Linked DNA regions of Tribolium castaneum. The protein of the gene in region 1 binds, or shares a complex with, the protein of each later gene. Links are inferred from orthologs where the notes say so. Each region holds a gene or a part of one and is shown on either strand. Other genes may lie near its edges.

What was found.
Region 2: eIF3i (region 1) and eIF3d1 share a complex: the UniProt entries of both Drosophila melanogaster proteins name them as parts of the eukaryotic translation initiation factor 3 (eIF-3) complex. The link is inferred for Tribolium castaneum from reciprocal best matches to the Drosophila melanogaster genes eIF3i and eIF3d1.
Region 3: eIF3i (region 1) and eIF3c share a complex: the UniProt entries of both Drosophila melanogaster proteins name them as parts of the eukaryotic translation initiation factor 3 (eIF-3) complex. The link is inferred for Tribolium castaneum from reciprocal best matches to the Drosophila melanogaster genes eIF3i and eIF3c.
Region 4: eIF3i (region 1) and eIF3h share a complex: the UniProt entries of both Drosophila melanogaster proteins name them as parts of the eukaryotic translation initiation factor 3 (eIF-3) complex. The link is inferred for Tribolium castaneum from reciprocal best matches to the Drosophila melanogaster genes eIF3i and eIF3h.

The regions. Positions count from the first base shown.
Region 1 is NC_087394.1:748,095-752,674, forward strand, and holds eIF3i (eukaryotic translation initiation factor 3 subunit I), read right to left. Parts: upstream 2,514-4,580; 5' UTR 2,389-2,513; coding exon 2,386-2,388; intron 2,270-2,385; coding exon 2,076-2,269; intron 1,698-2,075; coding exon 914-1,697; 3' UTR 877-913; downstream 1-876. Other genes in the region: mitochondrial carrier homolog 2, read right to left, coding at 3,862-4,128, 4,374-4,560. UniProt on the Drosophila melanogaster protein: Component of the eukaryotic translation initiation factor 3 (eIF-3) complex, which is involved in protein synthesis of a specialized repertoire of mRNAs and, together with other initiation factors, stimulates binding of mRNA and methionyl-tRNAi to the 40S ribosome.
Region 2 is NC_087399.1:4,807,479-4,812,533, reverse strand, and holds eIF3d1 (eukaryotic initiation factor 3 p66 subunit), read right to left. Parts: upstream 3,265-5,055; 5' UTR 3,198-3,264; coding exon 2,996-3,197; intron 2,934-2,995; coding exon 2,671-2,933; intron 2,625-2,670; coding exon 2,513-2,624; intron 2,468-2,512; coding exon 2,358-2,467; intron 2,304-2,357; coding exon 2,165-2,303; intron 2,118-2,164; coding exon 1,825-2,117; intron 1,782-1,824; coding exon 1,212-1,781; 3' UTR 1,155-1,211; downstream 1-1,154. Other genes in the region: Sans (ankyrin repeat and SAM domain-containing protein 4B), read right to left, coding at 4,071-4,449, 4,499-4,794, 4,841-5,055. UniProt on the Drosophila melanogaster protein: mRNA cap-binding component of the eukaryotic translation initiation factor 3 (eIF-3) complex, which is involved in protein synthesis of a specialized repertoire of mRNAs and, together with other initiation factors, stimulates binding of mRNA and methionyl-tRNAi to the 40S ribosome.
Region 3 is NC_087401.1:16,333,681-16,338,899, reverse strand, and holds the start of eIF3c (eukaryotic translation initiation factor 3 subunit C), read left to right. Parts: upstream 1-1,815; 5' UTR 1,816-1,947; intron 1,948-2,194; exon of another isoform or gene 2,195-2,197; 5' UTR 2,198-2,202; coding exon 2,203-2,292; intron 2,293-2,342; coding exon 2,343-3,107; intron 3,108-5,219. Other genes in the region: beag (protein Red), read left to right, coding at 726-1,465. UniProt on the Drosophila melanogaster protein: Component of the eukaryotic translation initiation factor 3 (eIF-3) complex, which is involved in protein synthesis of a specialized repertoire of mRNAs and, together with other initiation factors, stimulates binding of mRNA and methionyl-tRNAi to the 40S ribosome.
Region 4 is NC_087398.1:6,460,625-6,464,805, reverse strand, and holds eIF3h (eukaryotic translation initiation factor 3 subunit H), read left to right. Parts: upstream 1-2,043; 5' UTR 2,044-2,193; coding exon 2,194-2,271; intron 2,272-2,367; coding exon 2,368-3,306; 3' UTR 3,307-3,349; downstream 3,350-4,181. Other genes in the region: vkg (collagen alpha-2(IV) chain), read left to right, coding at 19-133, 184-606; SelT (thioredoxin reductase-like selenoprotein T homolog CG3887), read right to left, coding at 1,200-1,523, 1,570-1,699, 1,746-1,900; SP555 (SPRY domain-containing SOCS box protein 3), read right to left, coding at 4,122-4,181. UniProt on the Drosophila melanogaster protein: Component of the eukaryotic translation initiation factor 3 (eIF-3) complex, which is involved in protein synthesis of a specialized repertoire of mRNAs and, together with other initiation factors, stimulates binding of mRNA and methionyl-tRNAi to the 40S ribosome.

The DNA.
Region 1 (4,580 bases):
AAGATTCTAGCTTAAATCTCATTTTAAATTAAATTAAATTAAATTCACCGACTAATCGCACGGTTGATTGAAATTTTTGTTATAAAATAAAACGAGCCAAAAAAATCTAATTTTAAATTTCCCGCTTTCGCTGTCTCACAGTTGCCGCACAACAACAAACCACTCATCTTGAAACCACCCAATGAAATCGAGTTGGCTTGACATCATTTGTTTCAAAGCGTCTTTTCCTTTAGTTTTTTGTGTTGAAAAAGCAGTGTTTTGTGCGTATTTAGTGCCAAAATGACTAAAATTAACGTTTTGTTCAAAATGTGACATCACAGAAGTCACAGCCAACGCATTTTGGACGCCACTTTTTGGAAGCCACAAAATTGAGGTTAGTAATTTTTCAGTCTCAAAAAACACAAAACGTAACTAAATGCAGTAATACGGAGCTGAAAATTTCATTATTTTTGCTTTTTCGAATGTTTTAGTTACATTTCACAAGTTGGAAGCGCCGGAATAAAATTTACCAAAATTATTTTCGTAATTAAATTTCAGTTTCAAACGAACGAAAAACACATTAACAAGGGCTTTATTTGTGTATTTTCTGTCAAAAAGTCAAAAAGCTATGACAGATAAATCCATAAAATCCGGGTTTTTGTTAAAAAAAAACAGAACATAGTTAGGTATTTTATTTTGGAATACTCTGTATACAGATTAAAATATTTTTAGAACGTGCCTAATAAGTCTTACAATAGTAAACCTAGCGTTTCAAAAAAATTCAACTTGATAGCTTGCATAGAAAAAAAGTTATGGAGCACCTGTATAATCATTATTTAAAATCATTGCTCCGAAAACTTAGACTTGGACGTAATCTAGGAACAAAAACAACCAAACTGTTTTATTAAAAAATTTATTAATACCAGCTATCCATTTAATAATCGAAATTATACTCAAAATATGACGAATCGAAATTATGCACTCTCACATAACCATCTTCACCTCCTGAACTATAACTCTTGCCATCTGGATGAAACGCCACACTATTAATCGGCCCAAAATGCCCTTTAACCCTCCCAAACTCTTCTTCAAACACCATATGGAAAAACCTCGAGTCAAATTTCCCAACCCTTGCCGACGTGGTTGTCACATCCATGGCATCTTGCCCTCCGCCCACAACCACATGCTCAAAAATGGGGCTAATGGCAGCTGAATTAACCGGCCGTTCTGTCTTGTAAGTCTTCAGTAACATCAAATCAGCAGCGTCGAACAGTTTAGCTGTGTGGTCTTTGGACGCTGTCACAAACATTGTCCCGTCTTTATTCCACTGCATATCGTTGATTAAATGTTCGTGTTCACGTGTTGAACTGATCTCTTTGCCTGACTTCAAGTCCCACTTGATCAAATCCCCGTTTTCGTGCCCGGTTATTATAGTTTCGTCCAGGTTATCCCATAGGATTGACGAAACACGGGAACCTTTAATCGGGATGCGTAAAATGGGGTCGGCGTGCGAGATGCTTTCGTCCACGTTACGGACGTCAATAATGAAGATCTCGCAGTTGTGTTTGAGGGCTTTGTCGGTGGTGTACACTGCCATGTTGCCCGAGTAGCTAAACAGACACGTTCGGACTGATGAATTGGTTGAGATGTTCCCGATTTCTTTGCCCGTTTCACAGTCCCATACTTTAAGGGTGTTGTCACCGGCACCTGACAGGAACCTATAAAGTTTAAATAGTTTAAAAAGTAGCAAAATAGGTGATATTTCTGGTCTAAGTAGTATTTGATTAAATCAGTAAAAGCAAATTAATCAAAACTTGTACAGGGTGTCTCACCTAAAACTTTCGAGATTAATATCTGTTTTATTAATTTTAATTTTAAAATTACGATTTTAAGACTTCAGTTTTTGCATTAATTGGATTTTAATCTTTACTTTCCTAAATATCTGCATTTTAATTTTCATAAAAATACGTTGACAAATAACTGAGATATCAGGCTCAAAAGTATTAGGTGAGGCACCCTGTATATTCGCTACTGAGGCAACCTTATCGCGCACCCATTTGCTTTATTGCAGCAATAAATTTATTATTATTATTAACCTAGTGGTGGTCCAGTCGACGTCGATGCACCAGACAGCCCCCTGGTGGCCGTTGAAGGTTCCCAACCTCTCGCCATTAAGGGAGTACCAAACGTTGGGTTTGTTGTCCTTTGAGGAGGAGAAGAGGAGGTCGCCCTCACGGTTGTACTTGATTTGGGTGATGGCACGTTCGTGGCCGTGGAGTAGAAGGGGTTTCTGTGGGGGTTTTGAGGTTAAATTTAAGCGAACAATATGTGGGTGAAATTGTGGGGTAATGTAATGTTTTACGGTTGTGGGGCGTTTTTTTCGATTGATTGTGAGTCGTTACTTACCATTTTGTTAAAAAACTGGGCGTTTTTTTAAGGATTTTAATGATTAAACACGCTTTTTTTGACGGTTGTTTGACAGAAGAGGTGTCAAAATTAACTGTCATGGTGGGTTGTGCAGTGGCGGGGTTAAGTCAGTGCCGGCTCAGGTGAAATAACCGTATTGTCAAAATTAACTGATAAATGGCGTTATTGCCATTTTGGCAATTTTTAGCAGTTGGGAAAAATATGTAATAAAATTAACTGTGATTATTGATTAAAAACTCTTTGGGCCTTTACTGATTTTTTTTTTTAATTATTATCTTTACAAACTTAATCTTTTAAAATAATATTTCATTGTAGCGATTTTGTTTATTTTTGTATGAAATAAAGGGCTTTTGGCAGTAAAAAAATTAAGTAGAGCCATTAATTTAAGACCTTGGGACCTTACAATCTTTTTTTTATCTCAACTTTTTAAACTTTATTTTTTCAACTCCCTTTTCGTGTTTTAATTTTTGTAGGAAGCAAAGCCTGATGATGGGAATTTGATTGTAAAAAAAATTAAGTGTGGATAAATATTCCCTGGGGCCTTACCTATTTTTTTTTCTTTTTTTTTTGGAAAATATTTTAATTTTTCAAACATTATTTTTTAACCCCCTTCCCATTTATTGATTTTGTTCAATTCTGCAAGGAATATATAGCCTAGCCATGAGACTTTCGACTGTAAAAAAATTAATTGATGACAAACATTCTGCTTACTGAATGTTTTTCTTTTGTTTTTTTGCAAATGTTTTACTTTTTAAACTTCATTTTTTTCAACCGGCTTTCCGTACTGCAATTTTGTTTATTATTGCAGGAAATAAAGCTCTTGGATAGTGTTCGACTGTAAAACAATCAAGTGGAGGTAAACACTCTTTAAAACCTAACAGATTTTTTCTTTTTATTTTCAAAATTATTTTGAATTTTAGAACTTAATTTTCGCAACGCTTTTACCGTGTAAATAATAAATATTTTTGCTAGTAATAAAGCGCTCCAGTAGGGCCTTGGCTTGTAAAAAAATGAAGTGGGGACAAATATTCCTTGTAATCTTATTGAATTTTTTTTCTTTTTTTCTTTTTTGAAAACTCCTTGACTTTTCAAACTTTATTTTTTCAATCTCCTACCCGTGTAGCGACTTTGTTAATTTTTGCAAGAACGCGTCCTACTGATTTCAGCAACTGTAAACTAAAGAAACAAAATGGGGATAAACACTTTTTTTCGAAATATGTACAGGGTGTAATAAAAAACAAAGAAACTAAAGATTTAATCCAACTTTAACTTACCTTTATATCAAGTCGCACATTTTAAAAGTTAAAGCCAAAGTTTTTGCTTGCTTAATAAAAAAAACTCCAATTAAAATCTGAACAAGAATTTTATTGTAAAATAACACAATACTCTAAATATTTACATACAATTGCGTCAATTTGTAATGAAAAAAAATCCAACTACTGAATAACATGAAATTTAGTTGCCCTTGAGTAGATTGCCTTTACTTGTTATCAACGAAGGACCCTTGTAATAACGAACCAAAAGACTAGACCCTCTTTTCAATTGATTACGACTCGACAAATCATTCCAACAATCAATCCAAGTGTTGTAGTGCAACATATAAGGGGGCGATCCAGCCAACAAACCCGAATTCGAGACAGCCATGCAATTTGACACCACTTGGAAGGGGTACATTATTGATGAGGACACCATCTGCGAAATGTGATTCTTGAACAACAAATACTATAAATGGTTTAGTTATTTTTTAGTCAAAATATTGGCAACAGTGCGGCCATAATCTCTGTGTTTTGAAAAAGTGCATTGTTGACCTTTGAAATTATTTTCAAGTGTACAGACTTTTTCCAGATATGAGTTACTTTTATAAAAAATACTTTTCAATAATATAGGACTTTTTCAAATCGCTGGGACAATATTTCATTGAATGACAGTCGGGCTCACCAACTGTGTTTTTTTTTAAATTCACTTACACACACAGCGGCTGAAGTATAATTTTGTATTTCCTTCTCTTCTATTAGATACTTATTGACAACATAAGTCAGACTGCTTGCCAACAAAACGGACAAAATATCCCCAATCAGTCTGGGTATGAGTCCGCTGAAAAAACCCAAAATTCCATTCTGTCTGTATATTTCACCAATGGAACCAAACACACCCCTGTAAACCCCCCAAAAATA
Region 2 (5,055 bases), on another chromosome or scaffold:
AACGTTTTCACAAGTATAACTAGACCACAAATTTTTTTTTTTTTGGATTAATTCTTTTTGGTAAGTTTCAATTTTATTCAGTTAATTATGTTTTTTATGAGTGGTTTGGACCACTTTTATTTTTTTCATTTGGGTACAAATGCGTCTTTATGGAAACGCTACTTCACAAAATACAGCTTAATGTGTTTGAAAAAATTAGAAAGATATTTCGCTTAACTCCACAATGTGAATTCATAAGTGAAATATTTCGAAAACTACTGTGGGTATAGGGCTCCTGTTGTTGATAAAAACAAAACTAAAACATTTAAGATATTGGAAAAGACAATAACAAACATATTGTATAAGTGCGGCAATAAATTATATAGTTCATTCAAAAAAAAAAAAAATAAAGTAACAAACCTTTCCCCCCTCCATTATTTCATTCGTGGAAGAATAACAAATTAGTTTCGAGGGAAAAATAGTTTAAAAAGCTGATGTTTTGTAAAATGAAAAAAATTATTAAAGTGCACTTATCTTCATGGCATCTACTTCCGCTACAATATGTAGCAATAAGGTATTGCAAATAAATAAAAACCAAGTTAATATTATGTCATTATTATACCTACCATTCCACATTTCACTTACAATATGTTAATTGTATCACATATTCAATCCCACTTGGAGATGAGCAATTGAAAAAATACACTTTACGACATCATAAACTCAAATGTCATCAAATTAGTTTGAAAATTTTATAAAGTAGTTAATCTGTTGTAAAATGTTGCACTCAAACGATTATAACTTTTCAACATCTCAAATTGTGTGGGTTCGAGTAAAAATAAAACTGTTAATTTGATTTAGTTATTGAATGTTGGAACGTATTAACAAAAAAAGAATGAATCATACGATAATATGACATCTTACGTCATAAAAATGTGCTGATAATCTTGAATAAGTAAATTCTAAACCTAATAAAGTAAATCCGCAACAAAATAGAATAATGCACTTACCTTTATTTTTCTTTTGTTGTGAATACGACAGCTTTACTTTCTTTGTTGAAAAAAATTAAAAAATGCGTGAGCAAATGCACCTTGCTGCTGCTACACGACAAGAGTCCGTTTTATTTTTTTTTCACTTGTTGGTTAATACTATGCACGAGAATTAACTGCAAATTATTATTTATTGATCATTTTATTTCGGCCTTTCGCTAATACATGATAAAAATACAAAATCTAGCGTTTCGCACTGTTGGTGTATGGATAAAGGGTCTGGAAAGTCACGGAATCAGGGGGCACCTCATCCTCCGACTCCGACTCCCCGTCCGATTCGAACGTATTATCCGGAATATCGTACAACCGGATCATCGGCTTATTCGGATCTTTCATAATCAAATACTTCCCATCCTTCTGTTTCATAACAATGTCAATAATACACCGCAGAATCCCCCACGCATTATCCATATTCAGATTAATCTGAGTGGCAAACTCGTGCGGCTTATACTGCTGTGTACCCAGAATAACATGCTTGCTGTTATCCCTGACATGGGCCCGGGAAACATAACCGAATTTAATTTGGTCGCTGCCAGCCAGCAACGCCTGAACGGTCCATTTGGCCAGCTTGCAGGCGTTATTACGCAGCTCATTGGCCAAAACGGCGCCTCTCTGGGTGTCCAGTTTCTGGCGCCACTCCACCCCATTGGCCAATTTGGAATCCCATTCGTTCAAGGCCTTGATTGACAGGAATTGGAGCTCGCCATTCGGGGACTGGACCACGGCATCGTGTTCGCAACGGACAACCAAAAACTACACAAATTAAACGTGGACAGAAACAAAACGAAAAAATTACTATTCCGCTCCCTAGGTCATATTTGCGGTATCTGTAGGCCACACTGGCGACCTCCCCTTCCTCCTCCTCGGAGATAAAAGGGTTTGGGTTGTCGAACTTGAAGCGGGGCTCCCCGGTACCTGTTCTTAATACCTGTTGACTGAAATTGTGGTTAATGAAAGTGGCTTCCAAGGCCAGGTTTCGAGGGGAGTTTAAGGAGTTGCCGTCGTCTTGTGGGGGCTCCACGGACGTTTCGTTGACGGTTAAAAGATCAAACTCCGTATTGTCACGCTTATCAAAGAAGAGTTTATCGCCTGAAAAATTTTGTTTGAGATTTGTTACACTTGTAAGGGCACAGTACCAATTTTTTCAATCACGATGTCCCAGGAATAATTCGAGCGAGTGCAGCACATGATGGTCGCAAGGATCGCATCAGTGGCGTACACATTGCCCTCCGTTTTACTCAACTTACGGATAATCGGATCATCAGTTGTTGTAACCTGAGGATAATTAATTTTAATTTTTTGCCATCAATGATATTAAAAATAACCCACTGTATGGAAGATACGATTGACGCTTTGCAGCGGCTTCTCATTCTTCACGTTGACACGATCGTACGACTTGTCATAGTACTCCAACTCGCCACAACAAGTAATATCCTCGCCTAAAAACCAAAATAGAAAAATTCGCATTGCTTAATTAAACCAACCGTCTTTGACGTTAGGGAGCGACAATTTTCCCAACCGAGGGAAATCCATTTCCTCAATGGTGACCCAATCCGGTTTGACCGTAACCGAAGCGTCCCTGATCTTAATCTGGGGCTAAAACCGCCAACTATATTGCGGTAAAACTCAAGCGAGATCTTACCCGTCCTTGTCCCCATTTCTTAACCTGGCTCCTCTTATACGTGTCCCTGGCTTTAACCCCCTTCCCGAGGGACTGCATGCCGCTGCCTTGCACCCCAGCACGGCCGCCACGCCCGCGCAAGTTGCGCTGGTTCGCGCGGAAGCGCCCCCGTTGATAGGGGGGCTTCTGGACGCGTGTTGTGTCCACCAAATGAAAAGTGCTCTCGTCTTCGTCATGATAATACGCGTATTGACTGCCAGAACCGAACTGGGACGCATACTTGTCTAAAATTGCGAAAAATAAGTCACTTAACCTCAAATTTGACATGTGTCAATGTCAGACTAACTGGCATATTTCTTGTCTTGGAAGGCGGCCCCCGTCCAGTCGCTGATTTTGCCGAGACGGTCGCCTTTGCTGAAGGGCTGGTACGGCATATCTTTGAACTGGTCGGGCAGCTCGCAGGGCCCCCATCCAGTCGGGTTGTCCTGGATTACGGGGGCCACGAATTTGGGGACCTCACCCGCTGATTGACCATCAGTCATAGTCATTTGACTTGCTTTCAGAAGTTAGGAAGTGTTCAATTCAATATGTTGAAGCAGAAACCGCGAGTTGTGCACAACACTTGGCAAAAAGAAATGTGCGCGCGCAGATTCTGACAATCGACAGTTTTTGAAATTCGGCGCTTTTGAAATCAAAATAACATGGCCAACTTACATCAAATGTCGCTGCGCTTGAGAAAACATTTTCATCCACTTTTTTTTCAATTTAATTCTCTAATTTTTGTTTACGTGTTGTTTCACTTACCTTTTCTACACTTTTTTTCAGAAAAAAATTGTCACCCTGATCCGCAGCGACATTTGATGTAAGTTGGCGATGCTAAATAATAATGGAATCCTGTTAAAAATCCTTCACTCTTGGGTTTCCAATTAATTTTAAATTAAATTTTTTCCATTACAACCTAATTGATTTATTGCATTGTTAATAACTAATATTTAACTTGGAAAAACAGCAAGAAAATAAGCTCTAATGGCAATAAGGCATTATTTTTTTCTATTTTGGTGTCTCACTAACTTTATTTTGCATAAAAACTCATTGCCATCACAAAGAACGCAACAGCGCAAAAATTTGTATTGAATTCAAATTCTTCTACACGTAACTTCACTTTTTCGTAGTATATTTTACGTCCCCTATTATTGCGTATTGACGATGACATCAGATTTCTCTCAGCAAAGAGAACACTGATAAGGAGTGGGTTTAATAAGCTCGCATTTGCATAACACACATTTATTTATAATAAATTTAAATACGAATTTGTAAATATTATGCCTGGCACACATCTGTACAAAAAGTGCCCATAAAATACAAGCAATACCGTTATCATGTCCACGACAATGAATAAATAACACATTTTGACTCCATATTTACAACATGCTGTCTGTGACTTCGCCCGGATTCTCCAGCGCGGCTTTGCGTTCGCTGACAGCGGTCACAAGTTTCCTGTACGGCCCTAGGGGCAAGTTCAGGCTTTGGAGATCGTTTTCTGTCAGTATCATCAGCGTTTCCAGGTCGATTTTCTGCTCCTCGAAGCGGGGAAGGTACTCTCCTAGCCCCCAGGCGGTCAAGAAGCGTTCCAGGGGAGCGTTCGGGTTATCGTCGTCGCTGGACTCGGGGTCTGATAACTCGTCTTCGATTGATAGAGTGTTGGTTCTGGGGCCGTAGCTTTCCCCTGACCCGATTGAACTCTCCTCGTTGGGGCCTTCGCTGGAGTAGAAGCCTTGGAATGTGTTGGTTATGCTCTTTCTAAATAAAAAACGTGTTTTTGTGCTTTCGCATATTGATTATTTGTTACCGGAACGCTATGCTTCCAATTCCTGGGCGCACGAAAATACTCGCTGGTTCTTGTTGGAGTTTAGTGTCGCCGTTTGTTTCCAATTCGTGCATGAAGTCAGGCTGGGAGATGGACCTTGTGAGGCCGTTGCTGGACGGTGGTGGCGGCGGAGACGACTCTATGTACTCAGCTTCGTTGAAGACCGATTCCAGACGGCCTCTCCTGCCATCGATGGTCCCCGTGTAAAGTACCTCAGAGTCTCGCCGATACCCCGTTAGTGATCTGACTGAGCGTTTGCCGTCTTCAATTTCACTAATCTGGAACGAGTTTTTCAAATAAATGCTTATTTACTCTCGGGAGCACCTTGAAGTCGTCGTCGAAGCCAGGCCGCGTTGTTCGGCTGGCGAGCACCCGCTTCTGCACCGACCCCAAATTCCGCATCCCGGAAACGGTCCCGTTGCCCACGATGGTGCTGAACCTCGGAGGGGCCGGCCCCAGATTCGACAAGTTCGACATGGACCCACTTTTAATTCTGGTTTTGAGCGTCTCTATCATCGACGGCCTGTGGTGACCTTTGT
Region 3 (5,219 bases), on another chromosome or scaffold:
TTAGATTTTAAATCAGCAAAATTTTCCTTTAAATTCTCTTTTCTCGCTTATAAAAATTCTTCTCTAGTTTCTTTTATAATATTTCTTATTTATTTTTTAGCATTGTTTTTGTACTTACCTTTAGATTTTTTTAAAAGATTTTTGTGATTCTTTCCTAAAGAGGTCTTTAGATTTTAAATCAGCAAAATTTTCCTTTAAATTCTCCTTTCTCGCTTATAAAAATTCTTCTCTAGTTTCTTTTATAATATTTCTTATTTATTTTTTAGCATTGTTTTTGTACTTACCTTTAGATTTTTTTAAAAGATTTTTGTGATTCTTTCCTAAAGAGGTCTTTAGATTTTAAATCAGCAAAATTTTCCTTTAGATTCTCTTCTCTCGCTTATAAAAATTCTTGTCTAGTTTCTTTTAGAATTCTTCTTGTTCATTTTTTAGCATTGTTTTTTTACTGTCTTTTAGATTTTTTTAAAGATTTTTATGATTATCTCCTAAAGACTTCTTTAGATCTTAAATCCGCAATTTTTTTTATATTCTCCTCTCTCGCTTATAAAAATTCTTCTCTAGTTTCTTTTAGAATTGCTCTTATTTATTTTCTAGCATTGTTTCTGTACTTCTTTTTGGATTTTTTAAAGGTTTTTGTGATTCTTTTTTAAAAATTTTTACATGAATTTTAATGTTAAAATTCCTATTAATTTAATACCAACATGACTATTAAAATTTTATTTCAGACGATGAGGCTGAATCAGACATTCCAACAACTTTAATCCGTTCAATCGCCGACGTTCCGTCATTTGAACTCACCACAACCCTCACAACCAACGACATTGTCATAAATAAATTAACCCAAATTTTAAGTTACTTGCGCCAAGGCAACCGAAAGAACAAAAAAACCAAACGGGGACTCCCCGAAAGTCGCGAAAACGAACAACCGGAAGAACCCGAACCGAAAAAAACAACAAAACGTACAACCGGTGATGACTCCATCTATGGAGATATTGGTGATTACGTACCCACAAGAAGTGGTAAACATGGAAACTCGTCACGTGACCATAACAAACACACGTACTTTGATAAACAAGAGGAAGCGCTTGAAAATAGCGGACCGACTTTCAAAGTCAGTAAATCGGCACAAATCCTTAATAAACTGGCTCAAGAGCCTGAGGGATATGCTGAGTGTTATCCCGGATTGGAGGAAATGAACGATGCGATTGATGATTCTGATGATGAGGTTGATTATTCTAAGATGGACTTGGGGAATAAAAAGGGGCCGATTGGACGCTGGGACTTTGACACAGCTGAGGAGTATTCCGATTATATGAACCAGAAGGAGGCTTTGCCGAAAGCAGCCTTCCAGTACGGCCTTAAAATGGCAGATGGGCGCAGGTCCAGGAAGCATAAGGATAAGAACGAAAAGGCGCATTTGGACAGGGAGTGGCAAAAAATCCAAAGCATTATCAAGAAGAAATAATTTTGTTGTGTATTTAGGAGATAAATAAGTTAATTTAAATAAAAAATATATATTGGAAATTTGATTTTCTACAACTTTGTTCCTTACTTTTTTGTCTTACTATCGAGAGTTTAATGCTCTATGTGCCTGTATTTTTTCTTTGCTATCTGCTAATGGAACAAGTGCGCTCTCTGGTGACAATAAAGGAACTACCGAAAACGCGAGCGTTTCATTTGTACGTCTTTGGTATCTTAACCGTAGAATCCTTACTTTTGACACAACTTGAACCTAAATACCACCACCTAACCCTGGCTCTCGACTTAAGGGCCCTTTCGTGCCCAAAAACAAATTAATTTGCCCTTTTTTTACGATATTACCATAACACTACCAATCACAAGACAAAAAAGTCCCGATTTTGACAGTTGGCACAAGTTTTTGGCCATTTTGTGGTTACAATCGTGTCGGAAAATCTGTTAAGTGAAAAAAAGGCTTTAAACACGTAAGTTTTGCCTCTTTCACGTGTATTTTACCTTAAAATTGTGGTTCCGACATTTCTAACTATAATTTTGGGGAGTTCCGTCTCCAAACATGAACCACATGGGCCCCAGTAACTAGCTTTAAAGTAGTCTTAAATTAAGTTTTCGGTCTTCATTTGGCCCAAAGAAGCGAAAAACCGTTACCTAACGCCAATTTAACGCCTAGTTATTGCGTTATTTCACGTAATTTTTTTGAGGTTATGTCACTTTGTAGGTAAAAAAATGAGTCGTTTTTTCGCCGGTTCGGACTCAGACTCCGACAGCTCCTCCGAGGAAGAGCCAATTCAGCGCGCGCCAGCGCCCGTTTTCACCGTAAGTGAGCCCCCATGTAGCTTAACATTTTTTTAATGGCCCCCTTCTAGTTTAGCGACGATGAAGAGGAGGTCAAACGTGTGGTTCGCTCCGCCAAAGAGAAGCGTTACGAGGAACTCACTAACATTATCAAACAAATCCGCAATTACAAAAAAATCAAAGACATGAGCAGCATGTTGACCAGTTTTGAAGACCTTCAGAAGGCCTACGTTAAAGCGCTCCCAGTGATCGCGAAAGAAGAATCGGGGCAAACGCCCCGTTTCTTCACCCGTTGTTTGGTCGAAATGGAAGATTTCATCAACGAAATGTGGGAAGATCGCGACGGACGCAAAAACATGAGCAAAAACAACAGCAAGTCTTTGGCTTCAATGCGCCAGAAGTTGCGCAAGTACATCAAAGATTTCGAGGAGGATATTGCCAAGTTTAGGGAAAACCCCGACCAGCCGGACGATGAAGAAGAGGAAGAGAAACACGAGCCTGAGCCAGACACTCAAACTGAAGCGCCGGCCAAAGCTGTGGCTAAAATTTCCAAACAGATTGTTGATGATGAAGGGTCGTCTGATTCGGACGATTGGCCTAGTGATAGTGACTCGAGTTCGGATAGTTTTGATGAAGATGAAGGGAAAGGGACTATGAGGGAGCGGTTTTTGAAGAAAACTGGGCCGGCGCATGAAGATGATGAAGAACGCGATCGGAGGAAGGAGGAAAGGAGGAAGGAACGTAAGGAGAAGGAGAGGCGGAAGGTGAAGAAGGAGGATGAGGAGGATGGGGAAGGGGAGTGGGAGTTTGTGAAGGGGGGAATCGCAATTCCGAGCGTAAGTATCAGTACTTTAAATGTTTTTCTATTAAAAAAAATGAGGAATGACCTCTTTTCTTTTGTTATTCGGCTGTCTTGATTAGATAACACAGTACAATGAACTTTTTTTTTATAAAAAAGCTTAATAAGACCTTCTTCTATGACATATTAAAAATTTGGAAAGATATTATTTATGATTTTCTTGTTAGAGTCTGTCAAAAATAAACATTCTTGAAAAAATCAATAAAACAAAGTAAAAAATTCCGCTGTCTTGATTGGATAACACAGAGCAATGAACTTCTTTTTTATAAAACAGCTTCAGAAGACCTTCCTCTATAACATATTAAAAATCTGGAAAGATATTATTTTTGGTTTTCTTGTTAGAGTCTGTCGAAAATAAACATTCTTGAAAAAATCAAATAAAACACAAAGTTAAAAATCCCGCTGTCTTGATTGGATAACATAAAGCAATGAACTTCTTTTTTATAAAACAACTTCAGAAGACCTTTTTCTATAACATATTAAAAATCTGGAAAGATATTATGAACAATGAACTTCTTTTTTATAAAACTTTTTTATAAAACAGTTTCAGAAAACCTTCTTTTATAACATATTAAAAATTTGGAAAGATATTATTTTTAGTTTTCTTGTGAGAGTCTTCCAAAAATAACCATTCTTGAAAAATTCAAATAAAACACAAAGTTAAAAATCCCGCTGTCTTGATTGGATAACATAAAGCAATGAACTTCTTTTTTATAAAACAACTTCAGAAGACCTTCTTCTATAACATATTAAAAATATGGAAAGATATTATTTTTGGTTTTCTTGTGAGAGTCTTCCAAAAATAACCATTCTTGAAAAATTCAAATAAAACACCAAGTTAAAAATTCCGCTGTCTTGATTGGATAACATAGAGCAATGAACATCTTTTTTATTAAACAACTTCAGAAGACCTTTTTCTATAACATATTAAAAATCTGGAAAGATATTATTTTTGGTTTTCTTGTTAGAGTCTGCCAAAAATAACCATTCTTGAAAAATTCTAATAAAACACAAAGTTAAAAATTCCGCTGTGTTGATTGGATAACATAGAGCAGTGAACTTCTTTTTTATAAAACAGCTTCAGAAGACCTTCTTCTATAACATATAAAAAATTTGGAAAGATATTATTTTTGGTTTTCTTGTTAGAGTCTGTCAAAAATAACCATTCTTGAAAAATTCAAATAAAACACCAAGTTAAAAATTCCGCTGTCTTGATTGGATAACATCGAGCAATGAACTTCTTTTTTATAAAACAGCTTCAGAAGATCTTCCTCTATAACATATTAAATATTTGGAAAGATATTATTTTTGGTTTTCTTGTGAGAGTCTGTCAAAAATAACCATTCTTGAAAAATTCAAATAAAACTCAAAGTTAAAAATTCCGCTGTCTTGATTGGATAACATCGAGCAATGAACTTCTTTTTTGTAAAACAGCTTCAGAAGACCTTCTTCTCTAACATATTAAAAATTTGAAAAGATATTATTTTTGGTTTTCTTGTTAGAGTCTGTCAAAAATAACCATTCTTGAAAAATTCAAATAAAACACCAAGTTAAAAATTCCGCTGTCTTGATTGGATAACACAGAACAATGAACTTCTTTTTTATAAAACAGCTTCAGAAGACCTTCCTCTATAACATATTAAATATTTGGAAAGATATTATTTTTGGTTTTCTTGTGAGAGTCTGCCAAAAATAACCATTCTTGAAAAATTCAAATAAAACACCAAATTAAAAATTCCGCTGTCTTGATTGGATAACATCGAGCAATGAACTTTTTTATTATAAAACAGCTTCAGAAGACCTTCTTCTATAACATATTAAAAATTTGGAAAGATATTATTTTCGGTTTTCTTGTGAGAGTCTGCCAAAAATAACCATTCTTGAAAAATTCAAATAAAACATAAAGTTAAAAATCCCACTGTCTTGATTGGATAACACAGAGCAGTGAGCTTCAATTTTATAAAACAGCTTCAGAAGACCTTCTTTTATAACATATTAAAAATTTGAAAAGATATTGTTTTTGGTTTTCTTGTTAGAGTCTGCCAAAAATAACCATTCTTGAAAAATTCAAATAAAACACAAAGTTAAA
Region 4 (4,181 bases), on another chromosome or scaffold:
TAACCGTTTTGCTTTCAGATGCTCCGTTTGCGAATCTGTCACACGTGTCATCGCCGTCCACAGTCAATCGACAACCATCCCACAGTGTCCCAACGGCTGGGACGAACTCTGGGCCGGATACAGCTTCCTTATGGTAACTCTCTTCACCCCCTCGAACCCACATTTGTTTAACATATATTGCAGCACGTGGACGCCGGTGCCGAAGGCTCAGGCCAATCCCTCGTCTCCCCCGGCTCATGCCTCGAAGAGTTCCGCCCCAAACCCTTCATCGAATGCCACGGTCACGGCCGCTGCAACTACTACACCACCATCCTGTCCTACTGGCTGGCCACCATAGAGGATTCAGCCATGTTCCAAAAACCGCGTTCGGAGACTCTCAAAGCCGGCTATTTGACCTCAAGAGTCAGCAGATGCGCCGTTTGCATCCGCAGACGGTACACCAGTCGCACTGCAATTGTCACCCCTAGTCGAATCACAAGACCCACATACGGGACCCCGTATCGGCCCCCAGGCTATCCACCAGGAAGTTACAGGAACTTGGAAGAGAATAGGAGGAGGCGTTTGAGGCAGAGATTGAGACACAGGAGACCGCAAAATACGCCGTGATCGACGTGCCATAACAGTTATTAACTTTGTAATTATGTGTAAATTAATTGTAACATAGATTTGATGTTAACATTTGTCCTTGAGAAGGAACGTACGCCGTGTTCAAACACAAATCCTATTAGAATATTTTTTACTTGTAAGGATTTAGGTTCTTAATTTTATTTAAGCGATTACGACAGTGGCTCTTTGTATAGAATTTATTTTTTTAATACTTGAATTCTTGCTTGTTTTTGATCTTTTTTATCTCAAAGGTGCTAATTAGTTTTAAGGCTTACGACAGGAAAATGTGATTCATATTTTATGTGCCTTTCTATTAAACACTGCCAAATGATTTTGTAATGTAACAAATGAATAAATCATAAAAACGATGAGTTTTTGGGTTTTATTAGGTATCAAATAAGAAGACAATTTCTTTATGTACAACTTTTACTTATCACAAATCTAGTTATTTATAAATCATACATTCAAACATACTGAACGCTGTGTGATAGTGACCAGACAAAAAATTATAGAATGACACTACCAGACTCACAACAAATTTAAAAAAGAACAATCTGATAACAAAACAATCATTTTCGAAATTTATAGTAACTTTACTTCGGGAATCCGTTGCTCAGTTCAATTTTGCTGTCAGTGAACTGCATATGATTATCGATGATTTGGAAAAGCTCTGCAGGTTGTGGTATCCTGCCCGTCTCCAGTTTGGACCAAACAGGAACGTCATTCAGTGAGATTTCAAAAGCCCCCGATTGAATCAACTGTCCTTCGATAATATTACACACAAAGAACAGCATCATGCAAGCATAAAGCTTGTTTTCTGTGCACCAAATCCACCATGAAGGCTGTGGTTGGTTAATGTATTCAAATATGTTAATAGCCCCCAAAATACACACGATTATCACCATTTTAACGATGCCCTGAAAACGCATAATCATCAACTTTCACTCATTATATCATACTTACAATAAGTCTGGCCAAATACATGTTCAAGCCTGGGGGGTCGTAATTTTGGCCATCAACGGCTATAAAAGGGTATTTGTCCCCAACGATTTTTACGTACTGCTCGAACGTTTTCCGGTAACCACACGAATAACTAAATTAAATAATTAGATTATGATATTGGGGCTAGGGGAACATACCAATACAAAAATTTTAAGGTTGGGGCCCCAACATTTTGACTTAGCTTCGACGGGAGGACGTCTTCAGCTGCTACGTTACCGTTTGATTCGAGAAAACACAGCCCCGCAAACACCACTAAATACCAAAAACATGATATTTGTCTTAAACCAGCCATTTATTTTGCTTTCTAATGCTCTCGTCAGCTGATAAATTTCCAATGACAGGTGGGACTGGTGGAAACGTAGGGGAATTTAGACACCGACTAGATCAGCCTAAAACACTAATATAATAATTATTTCACGTCCAAAAAACACGAGATTGTGTTAGCTGCTACAAAATTTGGTAACAAACAACGTAATCGTTAAATAAGGCCATTATCGGCTGGCAATTTTTACGAAAATTGTGTTTTTGTAGCAATTGTGGAGTTTTTGTTTGCGCTACATTGGCAGGTATTTTTGGCAGTTTAAAATGGCGTCTCGTGGGGCTGCTTCGAGGCGTGTGCCTGAAAATGACTCGACGATTGCTTACGTGCAAGCCGACGGCTTGGTAAATATCCCTTCAGTTTATTTAAACCCAAAAGTCACACTTTGGCTACCTCAGTTAGTAATTAATACCTAACATACGGAACCTAACCTCTTTCAGGCCGTCATGAAGATCGTAAAACACTGCCATGAGGAATCGACCACTAACATGGACATAGCCCAGGGGGCCCTTCTCGGCCTTGTCGTTGAAAACCGGCTGGAAATCACGAATTGTTTCCCATTCCCGAAACAAACCGACGAGACAATGGACGAGGACGAGTACCAGCTAGCGATGATGCGGCGCCTGCGACGCGTCAACGTCGACCACTTCCATGTGGGGTGGTACCAAAGCGCCGACGTCGGGAACTTCCTCAGCCTCCCTCTTCTCGAATCGCAATTCCACTACCAAACCTCAATCGAGGAATCCGTCGTTGTGATTTACGACACTCAAAAATCCTCGCGCGGGTTCCTCACACTTAAAGCCTACCGTTTGACGCCTCAAGCCATTGAGATGTACAAGGAGGGCGAATTCACGCCCGAGGCCCTCTTGAAGCTCAAAGTCGGATACGAGAACCTCTTCATCGAGGTCCCCTTCGTTATTAAAAACTCCGCCTTGACCAACATCATGATGTCCGAATTGCAAGAACTTGTCCCGGAAGAAGAAGGCTCGAAATTTTTAGATTTGGGAACCGCCTCCGTCCTCGAGGGGCAATTGCGCTGCCTCATGGACCGAGTTGACGAACTCAACCAAGAAGCGATCAAGTTTAATAGATACCAACAGTTGGTCAGCCGGCAACAGCAAGACAAACACAGATATTTGCAAAAGAGGGCGCAGGAAAATGCGGCTAGGGCCGCGAAAGACGAGCCCCCATTGCCCGAAGAGGACATTAATAAGCTGTTTAGGCCACATCCGGTGCCCCCGAGGCTGAACCCGATGATTATCGCGGGACAGATTAATACGTATAGTCAGGCCATTTCCCAGTTGTGCTCGCAGAGTTTGGCTAAGTTGTATATTACGCAAGCGTTGCAGAACGCCAAGGAGGCGAATTCTAATCCTTGAACTGTTTTGTTACGTTGTTTTACAATAAAATAATATACAATGAGTTTGGGTTTTATTTAAACCAGGCGTAATAAAGCTTAATTGGCGCAGTCAGTAGGTTTTGTGGTGGCGTCTCTTCTGTGAAATTTCTACGTTTGAACGTTTAATCATCCCCTTAAAAAATGGTACTAAACCAACAGTGGAGAAAGTCATATTCGCAACCTTTTCATCGTTTATGTTGATTTTGTTGTTTTTTGATTGAAATAAAGGACACAGCTTTTAAAAAATAATGTATTCAATTGCCCTAAACATCAATTTAGTCATTACAGTCTTACGAACCTAAAGAAATGAATTTTATTTATTTACATTTCTATTGCACAAACTGGCCAAAATGTACACACTTTTTTGTGCAACTTTCTCAAACTCATACAAACCAATAACAAACAACACACGAAAAACAACAACAAAACAAGACTAGATAATCAATCACAATAAATCGTTTCGTATTACGCTATTAGCAGTTCAATCAATAAGAAAAATCGTGTCATGAGTATAAAAATGTTGATTAATTCATTTGAAAAAATTCCCCATTTTACATTGATAAAATAGCTTAACACTACGACTAGACTCTAGGTAACATTCACCACTGGCGTCGTCCCATTTATCGTATTTACAGAATTTTAAAATGGCACATGGACAAATCCACGGTTTTACATTTCTATACACACGTACCGAGAAAACCTTTTGGTACAAATACATATACAGTGTGGACCAACAATAAAAGTATTTAGTTTGCCTTTTATTTATCCACGTGATTCACTTGTCGAATCAAACGCCTACATATTCCCGACATTAATCGAAATCGTGTTGTGATTGACGGGTTTGAACGGCTCAAC